Saccharomyces cerevisiae S288C: one gene and its partner. The protein of the gene in region 2 purifies or fractionates together with the protein of the main gene of each other region. This does not show direct contact. Each region holds a gene or a part of one and is shown on either strand. Other genes may lie near its edges. The genes, in order: TDH1 and ENO1.

Region 1 (5,338 bases), on a different chromosome or scaffold from region 2:
CGACGAGAATTTCCCGAGGTTGATTTTGTAGGTGAATGACTGCTTTGCAAAGTACGTACGTAGCTAAAATCAATACTCTGGTTTTTATTGTGACCATGGCCAAACGAGTAGTTTATCGGATCTGTTGTACTACCCTCATATGGCGACATTGTATCAGAGATATTTGATAATGACAATTTCTTTCCAAATCTCATTCTCAACGACTTGGTTGGAGATGAATGCGGTGAGGTGTTGGACATCATATTAGAAGAAGAACCCTGTAATAGCTGATTTATTTGAGAATTGTTTCTTGAATGACCCGTAAAAAAGTTGCTTAGGGTGCTGTGTGAATGTTGGTGCTTGACACTTCCTGATCCACTGATCATGGAAATTATCGATTTGGTTGGTGAATGCCTTGTACTAAATCTACTCATATCCTTTGGGCCATTGTCAATAGTAGTTGAGGATAGGTTGTTTTGGTTCAAACTGCTTTCAATCAGCTGACTTGCATCCTCTTCTTGAATGCTGGGATCATGTAAATACTCATCTAGTTCGCTAATAGTATCTGAAGTTTTAAACTCCTGTTGGTTAAATTGGTCTGATGTAGCAATTTGTAATCCTGCACTTTTAAAGGGAAAGCTGAAGTTGTTTTGGGCATGCAGTTCAACTTCCAATTCGGTGGATGTACTTGGATCCATATCACTTTCAGAGGTGAATCTGAAAGGGGGTAGTAATTTGCTTTTATCCCGGTTTGTGGTTACTTTTTGAAGTATTTTCTCCTGATCCTTTTCCCACATCTCTAAAGTGACACGGGCTGGCAAATCCACGTGTTTGGTATATTGTTGTTCGAAATCGTCTTCTATATCAGATGATATCCTTGGGACTTGTGGAATGTCTTGTAGTTCATTAGTCATTAAGATATCACCTACATAGAAATCATCGTCAACTTCCACCTGGGGTATCAATGGTGTTGCTTGGTATGAGTCCTCATTTTGAGTGCTTTGCTGTGGGGATATCATTTTATCTGTTACTCTCAAACATGCAGGAAGTAAGGCACTATTAATTCTCCCAATAGCTTCTCTTTCTAACTCCAAGTTTGGAGAATCAATAGTATGCGAATCATGGGGAGTTTTGTATTTCAAAGTATTATTTCCTTCGTTAATTATTATTGAAACTCTTCCTTCACTTGGTGTTCTCGCAGTGGAAGTCGAATTCCCGTTTTTTTCGTTTAATGCTAAGAAATTCAGGAAACTTTTCGAGATGTCAGATATGGTTGATAGTCTGGATACATACTGGCTACTTCGGTGGTTGCTTTTCTTTTCTGTCGGAACCTTAGTAGCTTGTTGTGTATTTCTTTTGTATCGATTTTCTTTAGGACCCAAAAAGAAACTGTTATATTTTTTCAATTTAGAAAAATGCGAATGAGATGGCTTTTTAGGACACTTGCTGGTGCTAATCGGTCCTAATTTGTGTCGAATAACTGAAGAGTTTGAATTTTCATCGGATGATATGGTTTTGTTTGCGTTTGTGTTTGAATTTGTGGAGAGTTCATTAATCAGCCACGCTACCCCATTCATACTCTTGGGACTACCGTGTAATAATTCCAAATCTGGTGTTAAGGTCTGTGAAGAGTTCTTAAGGGGTACAAATCTACCATTTTCCACCGCATTTGCTTCTTTGTCATATTGATCCGTACTAATATTGTTAGATGAGCTGCCGAAATTGTTCGCATTGCCATCCTTCAGGAAGAATCCTAATTGTATGCCATTAATGAAAAGTGTGAAAATTAACAAAGAATCCAGAGTTGTTATATAGACTCTGTGAGACTCGCTTTGTACCGATATTGGGCTCCTCAAGGTATTATGAAAATAGTCCACTGTGCAGCCCATGGTGATCAGTGGCAATGCAAAATTAAGAACGTTGTAAAAGTATCCAATATGAAACTTGCTAGGCGCAAAAACAGTCTCTGTGATAAACGATATCAGTGACGGTATTCCATATAACAATGTCGAGCATACAATAACTATCAGTACCGCTTCGTGGTCGTGGAACTTGCATAGCAATGCGATAGCAATGGCACCTGTGGCAATTGAGAGAAGAGCACTTCCGAACTTGATCCCCAAAAAACCAGCCTTATTTCCGCTCCTAACAGAATTATGGCACATAAGAGAGTATGATTCCTTTCTTAGTATATATATACTGCTCAAGGGCAAATGCAATTACTTTGGAAATGCTTTCTTGTTCTGATACGTAAGAAGACAAGTAATCTCTGGACTAAAAGTGGAGCCGGAATAGAGACTCTCTTAGTATCAGTATCCACCTCTTCAAAGGATAATGCGTTCTTTGCCAATAGTCACATATTGTGGGTATGTGCGTTTTGCAAAGGCAGCAATATATTGTTTACTTATTTCCCAAAAAGGAAAAATCTTTAAACCATCCTAGAACTTCAATTCACCACGTTCAGGGTAATATATTTTAACCGCCGACGTTCTCGCCATAACTTTTAAACAGTGATAACTAGTATTGAAACTTAGAAGAGAAAAGGGTAAAGTTAATGCTTAATCTTGTCTTGGCTTAAAAAGTAATATGTACTTATTTACGTCTTCACAAAATCTAGCAGAAAAACGGTAGTATTTATGTATATTCAAAAAAAAATCATTATCCTCATCAAGATTGCTTTATTTAAGCCTTGGCAACATATTCGATCAAGTCAACAACTCTGGCGGAGTAACCGTATTCGTTATCGTACCAGGAAATCAACTTGACGAACTTTGGAGACAATTGGATACCAGCGGAGGCATCGAAGATGGAAGCGTGAGTGTCACCCAAGAAATCAGAGGAGACAACGGCATCTTCGGTGTAACCCAAAACACCCTTCATTGGACCTTCAGCGGCAGCCTTAACAGCCTTCTTGATTTGGTCGTAAGTAGCTTCCTTTTCCAACTTGACAGTCAAGTCAACAACGGAAACATCGACGGTTGGGACTCTGAAAGCCATACCGGTCAACTTACCTTGCAATTCTGGCAAGACCTTACCGACAGCCTTAGCAGCACCGGTAGAGGATGGGATAATGTTACCGGAAGCGGTTCTACCACCTCTCCAGTCCTTGTGGGATGGACCATCAACAGTCTTTTGAGTGGCGGTCATGGAGTGAACAGTGGTCATCAAACCTTCTTCAATACCGAAAGCATCGTTGATAACCTTGGCCAATGGAGCCAAACAGTTGGTGGTACAAGAAGCGTTGGAGACAATCTTCTTGTCTGGAGTGTATTTAGTGTGGTTAACACCAACAACAAACATTGGAGCAGAAGAAGATGGAGCAGTGATGACAACCTTCTTGGCACCAGCGTCAATGTGCTTTTGAGCGGTGTCCAATTCCTTGAAAACACCAGTGGAGTCAACAGCGACATCGATCTTTAGAGAACCCCATGGCAAGTTAGCTGGGTCTCTTTCTTGGTAGGTAGCGATCTTGACACCATCAATGATGATGTGCTTGTCGTCATGGGAAACAGTACCCTTGTATCTACCATGAGTAGAATCGTACTTGACCATGTAAGCAGCATAATCGTTAGAGATAAATGGATCGTTGACAGCAACAACCTCAATGTCTTTTCTTTGCAAAGCCAATCTCAAGACCAATCTACCGATTCTACCGAAACCGTTAATAGCAATTCTGATCATTTTGTTTTGTGTGTAAATTTAGTGAAGTACTGTTTTTTGTGTGTGTTGGTGAAATATCAAACCAAGTTCTTGATGAATTTCTTATTTATGCAAGAGAGAGAATAGAACTGTACTACAAATCTCATTGTGTGAAAATATATTGTCTATTTATATGATTTCGAGACTCCAGTTTTGGTCATTATCACCAAGCTCTTACTGCTACAGAGAATGAACATGCTCCTCCCCCCCTTCTTCAGACTATGTTGTTCTGCACGTGGATACCGTCGCATGCACCTAAGAAGCAGATGGTGGCTTGCCTTACTGTATTGTAAAGATCCAGTCTCCAGATCTGCGACCACTCCGAAGGTTGAAACCCGAGCTTCCTGTTTGCTGTCTCGCGCCTTTTAAAAAAAAAGCGCGATTATGGGCCGCTCGTGACAGTAAAGGAAGCAAGCAGATCGACCCCCTGAAAATGTGGTGTGGTTACTAAGCAGAAGCGTCTTCGTCGCATATCCTATTCCTAGCGCAACAAGGCCCCACGGTGTGGTTTCATGTGACGTGGAGTCATGTAGGCTTGTGGTGCGCACATTTTTACTAAGCTCAACAACCCTACTGGCGCTGCTGGAAGTGAATGGCGAGTAGATACTATCAAGTGTTGGCTGGTGGGACATATCAGCAACTAATGGATAGAATAAATTGGATCAGAAGCTCAGCCCAACTTATCCTCCATATGGTGATATAGAGTGTAAATGAGCATATACATTCGTTTCTTTTTCTCCTCCCATTAGTCTGGCCCTTTAGCATACAAGTCAACTGTAGTTTTCAGAAGCGGGCTTTTCTTGGTTTTTGTTATGTTACCTGTGAGAAACTAATCCATCGAGAAATTTACTCATTTTTTTTTTTACTCCAAGCTGCTTTTACTTAGCTAAACATAAAAAAAGATATTTCTTATGCATTAACTTGAAGAAAAATTGTTCCCTTGGACAACGCTGTGCTTTTCCGAAGCACTGTAAAAGGGAAGAAAACCATATGCTATTCCTCCTTTCGTAGAGAAAAAAAGTTTTAGCACTTGAGCTTCTTACTATATCGTATTTTACCTCTTGCTTGTTTAGTTCGTTATAACTTACGCAAAAGTCTTCTACTGAAATCTAGATATTGTTATGTATAACACTATAATGCCAAACGAAAAGTTAAATATCGAGATGTTGAAAGAACAGAGAACCACATCTTCACCTTATTTAAGGTCGAGCTTTTCTACCGGGTCCTGTACAATGTTATTTCTGATTGTTTAAAATATCTTCTGCCATCTTCATCGATAATAACCAAGCTCAAATAATTCTTGACGTTAAAGTAGTTGCAGCTCATATTGGGCGTCAGGTCATAGCCGCTCAAGAATAATCTTATGGGTATGGTTTCACCTTTCACTGAAGACCCATCCATTATTTCGTATCGGATAGCAGTGGAATCTGTCATTACATTAGAAGTTTGTAGGCCGGAAGATTCTCTTGTGATCAAGCTTAATTCCATATGTTTTATCCTTAGTCTCGTTAAAAGGAAATATATACGCCCCACAATGACTTCTTTTAAGCTGTACTGGGATTTGGCATATTCAAACTCAATGTGAAGGCAATTTTCTATACCTATATCCAATCTAACAGGCTTGGGCTCATTATTTGAATGTGATATCGGCAAAACTTGA
Region 2 (3,747 bases):
ACCTAGTACAACACCTTCTTTCGTGGCAATACCAATTGCTGTAGATCCTAATTTGATGGCCTCCAAAGAATACTCAACTTGGAATAACCTCCCTTCTGGGGAAAATGTGCTTACACCACGATCATATTCACTTCTAGTTAAGAACATCCTTTCTAGTTATATTAGACAATTGGAATTTATGTTCTTATTGACTTGTATTCTATAGTTATAGCGCTCTCTTGTCCAATTTCCTAGGTTACTCTTTTGCCACCGGTCTTGGTTTATGATAACCCTGTATAATGAAATTTCAAAAATATTTTCGTGAATAGTGATTTATTTAATTTAAGCACTAAATTATCCTTACGGACTTGGGCTACATTCATGTTTGCACGCTTAATAAAAAATCGGCGTACTTTCATCTATGCTTGGCTTATAATATGTTTGATAGTCAATTCATTTCAGTAAAAAGTCTTCAGCAGTAGTTGCAAAAGTGTCCTTTTTTACTTTTTGGGCTACATTATTCTTGAAAAAAGTTCATGTTTTGTTATTTCTTTCTCACATACTTTATAAAAAAAGATAATTTTTTTAAAAAAAAAAAAAAATACAAGTGGAACATTATCAAATAAAAAGCATTATAGCGCCACATGCGATGAACCTGAGCTTTTATCTTCATTAATATATAGTAATTACAACATGTTATTGAAATGCACAGCACTTATCCAGAGTTATTTGATATAAAGATTATGACTCAAATTCTTCTCGACAAACAAGAAACTTTCTCACCTACAAATGTCTTCAACAATTCTAATAATTGACACATAAGTATATTGTATATATAACATGGATATAAATGGCCCTATATTGAAAGCTATGTCAAAATAGGAATCCTTCCTTCCTCAGCGCTTTTTATCAAGGGCCAATTGATCTGATACACCTAGTAGTGTACTATAAGTGTAGAAAGCATACTATACTATTCGACACTTCCTTTCAATCCTGGAATTAACAGTCACTTTTAAAAAAGACATCTACCGTGAAGGTGCCGTAGAGTATCGCGTTACCATATCGCCAAAAACTGATATACGCCGCGGAAACCAGGCAAACAATTGAAAAGAAAAATTTTGAGGAACTCTCTGCATCGAAGCCGTCTAGAGTTACCACTAGTCAGATGCCGCGGGCACTTGAGCACCTCATGCACAGCAATAACACAACACAATGGTTAGTAGCAACCTGAATTCGGTCATTGATGCATGCATGTGCCGTGAAGCGGGACAACCAGAAAAGTCGTCTATAAATGCCGGCACGTGCGATCATCGTGGCGGGGTTTTAAGAGTGCATATCACAAATTGTCGCATTACCGCGGAACCGCCAGATATTCATTACTTGACGCAAAAGCGTTTGAAATAATGACGAAAAAGAAGGAAGAAAAAAAAAGAAAAATACCGCTTCTAGGCGGGTTATCTACTGATCCGAGCTTCCACTAGGATAGCACCCAAACACCTGCATATTTGGACGACCTTTACTTACACCACCAAAAACCACTTTCGCCTCTCCCGCCCCTGATAACGTCCACTAATTGAGCGATTACCTGAGCGGTCCTCTTTTGTTTGCAGCATGAGACTTGCATACTGCAAATCGTAAGTAGCAACGTCTCAAGGTCAAAACTGTATGGAAACCTTGTCACCTCACTTAATTCTAGCTAGCCTACCCTGCAAGTCAAGAGGTCTCCGTGATTCCTAGCCACCTCAAGGTATGCCTCTCCCCGGAAACTGTGGCCTTTTCTGGCACACATGATCTCCACGATTTCAACATATAAATAGCTTTTGATAATGGCAATATTAATCAAATTTATTTTACTTCTTTCTTGTAACATCTCTCTTGTAATCCCTTATTCCTTCTAGCTATTTTTCATAAAAAACCAAGCAACTGCTTATCAACACACAAACACTAAATCAAAATGGCTGTCTCTAAAGTTTACGCTAGATCCGTCTACGACTCCCGTGGTAACCCAACCGTCGAAGTCGAATTAACCACCGAAAAGGGTGTTTTCAGATCCATTGTCCCATCTGGTGCTTCTACCGGTGTCCACGAAGCTTTGGAAATGAGAGATGGTGACAAATCCAAGTGGATGGGTAAGGGTGTTTTGCACGCTGTTAAGAACGTCAACGATGTCATTGCTCCAGCTTTCGTTAAGGCTAACATTGATGTTAAGGACCAAAAGGCCGTCGATGACTTCTTGATTTCTTTGGACGGTACTGCCAACAAATCCAAGTTGGGTGCTAACGCTATCTTGGGTGTTTCTTTGGCTGCTTCCAGAGCTGCCGCTGCTGAAAAGAATGTCCCATTATACAAGCACTTGGCTGACTTGTCTAAGTCCAAGACCTCTCCATACGTTTTGCCAGTTCCATTCTTGAACGTTTTGAACGGTGGTTCCCACGCTGGTGGTGCTTTGGCTTTGCAAGAATTTATGATTGCTCCAACTGGTGCTAAGACCTTCGCTGAAGCTTTGAGAATTGGTTCCGAAGTTTACCACAACTTGAAGTCTTTGACCAAGAAGAGATACGGTGCTTCTGCCGGTAACGTCGGTGACGAAGGTGGTGTTGCTCCAAACATTCAAACTGCTGAAGAAGCTTTGGACTTGATTGTTGACGCTATCAAGGCTGCTGGTCACGACGGTAAGATCAAGATCGGTTTGGACTGTGCTTCCTCTGAATTCTTCAAGGACGGTAAGTACGACTTGGACTTCAAGAATCCAAACTCTGACAAATCCAAGTGGTTGACTGGTCCTCAATTGGCTGACTTGTACCACTCCTTGATGAAGAGATACCCAATTGTCTCCATCGAAGATCCATTTGCTGAAGATGACTGGGAAGCTTGGTCTCACTTCTTCAAGACCGCTGGTATTCAAATTGTTGCTGATGACTTGACTGTCACCAACCCAAAGAGAATTGCTACCGCTATCGAAAAGAAGGCTGCCGACGCTTTGTTGTTGAAGGTCAACCAAATCGGTACCTTGTCTGAATCCATCAAGGCTGCTCAAGACTCTTTCGCTGCCGGTTGGGGTGTTATGGTTTCCCACAGATCTGGTGAAACTGAAGACACTTTCATTGCTGACTTGGTCGTCGGTTTGAGAACTGGTCAAATCAAGACTGGTGCTCCAGCTAGATCCGAAAGATTGGCTAAATTGAACCAATTGTTGAGAATCGAAGAAGAATTAGGTGACAACGCTGTTTTCGCTGGTGAAAACTTCCACCACGGTGACAAATTATAAAGCTTTTGATTAAGCCTTCTAGTCCAAAAAACACGTTTTTTTGTCATTTATTTCATTTTCTTAGAATAGTTTAGTTTATTCATTTTATAGTCACGAATGTTTTATGATTCTATATAGGGTTGCAAACAAGCATTTTTCATTTTATGTTAAAACAATTTCAGGTTTACCTTTTATTCTGCTTGTGGTGACGCGTGTATCCGCCCGCTCTTTTGGTCACCCATGTATTTAATTGCATAAATAATTCTTAAAAGTGGAGCTAGTCTATTTCTATTTACATACCTCTCATTTCTCATTTCCTCCTAATGTGTCAATGATCATATTCTTAACTGGACCGATCTTATTCGTCAGATTCAAACCAAAAGTTCTTAGGGCTACCACAGGAGGAAAATTAGTGTGATATAATTTAAATAATTTATCCGCCATTCCTAATAGAACGTTGTTCGACGGATATCTTTCTGCCCAAAAGGGTTCTAAGCTCAATGAAGAGCCAATGTCTAAAC

What was found.
Region 1: the proteins of ENO1 (region 2) and TDH1 purify together in Saccharomyces cerevisiae (affinity purification with mass spectrometry; 2 studies listed by BioGRID, with this or other methods). This does not show direct contact.

What each region holds. Positions count from the first base shown.
Region 1 is NC_001142.9:336,593-341,930, reverse strand, and holds TDH1 (glyceraldehyde-3-phosphate dehydrogenase (phosphorylating) TDH1), read right to left. Parts: upstream 3,661-5,338; coding exon 2,662-3,660; downstream 1-2,661. Other genes in the region: IRC8 (Irc8p), read right to left, coding at 1-2,144; YJL052C-A (uncharacterized protein), read left to right, coding at 3,928-4,047; retromer subunit PEP8, read right to left, coding at 4,894-5,338. UniProt on the Saccharomyces cerevisiae protein: Glyceraldehyde-3-phosphate dehydrogenase (GAPDH) involved in glycolysis and gluconeogenesis. Catalyzes the reaction of glyceraldehyde-3-phosphate to 1,3 bis-phosphoglycerate.
Region 2 is NC_001139.9:998,994-1,002,740, forward strand, and holds ENO1 (phosphopyruvate hydratase ENO1), read left to right. Parts: upstream 1-1,933; coding exon 1,934-3,247; downstream 3,248-3,747. Other genes in the region: PUP2 (proteasome core particle subunit alpha 5), read right to left, coding at 1-147; putative N,N-dimethylaniline monooxygenase COQ6, read right to left, coding at 3,530-3,747.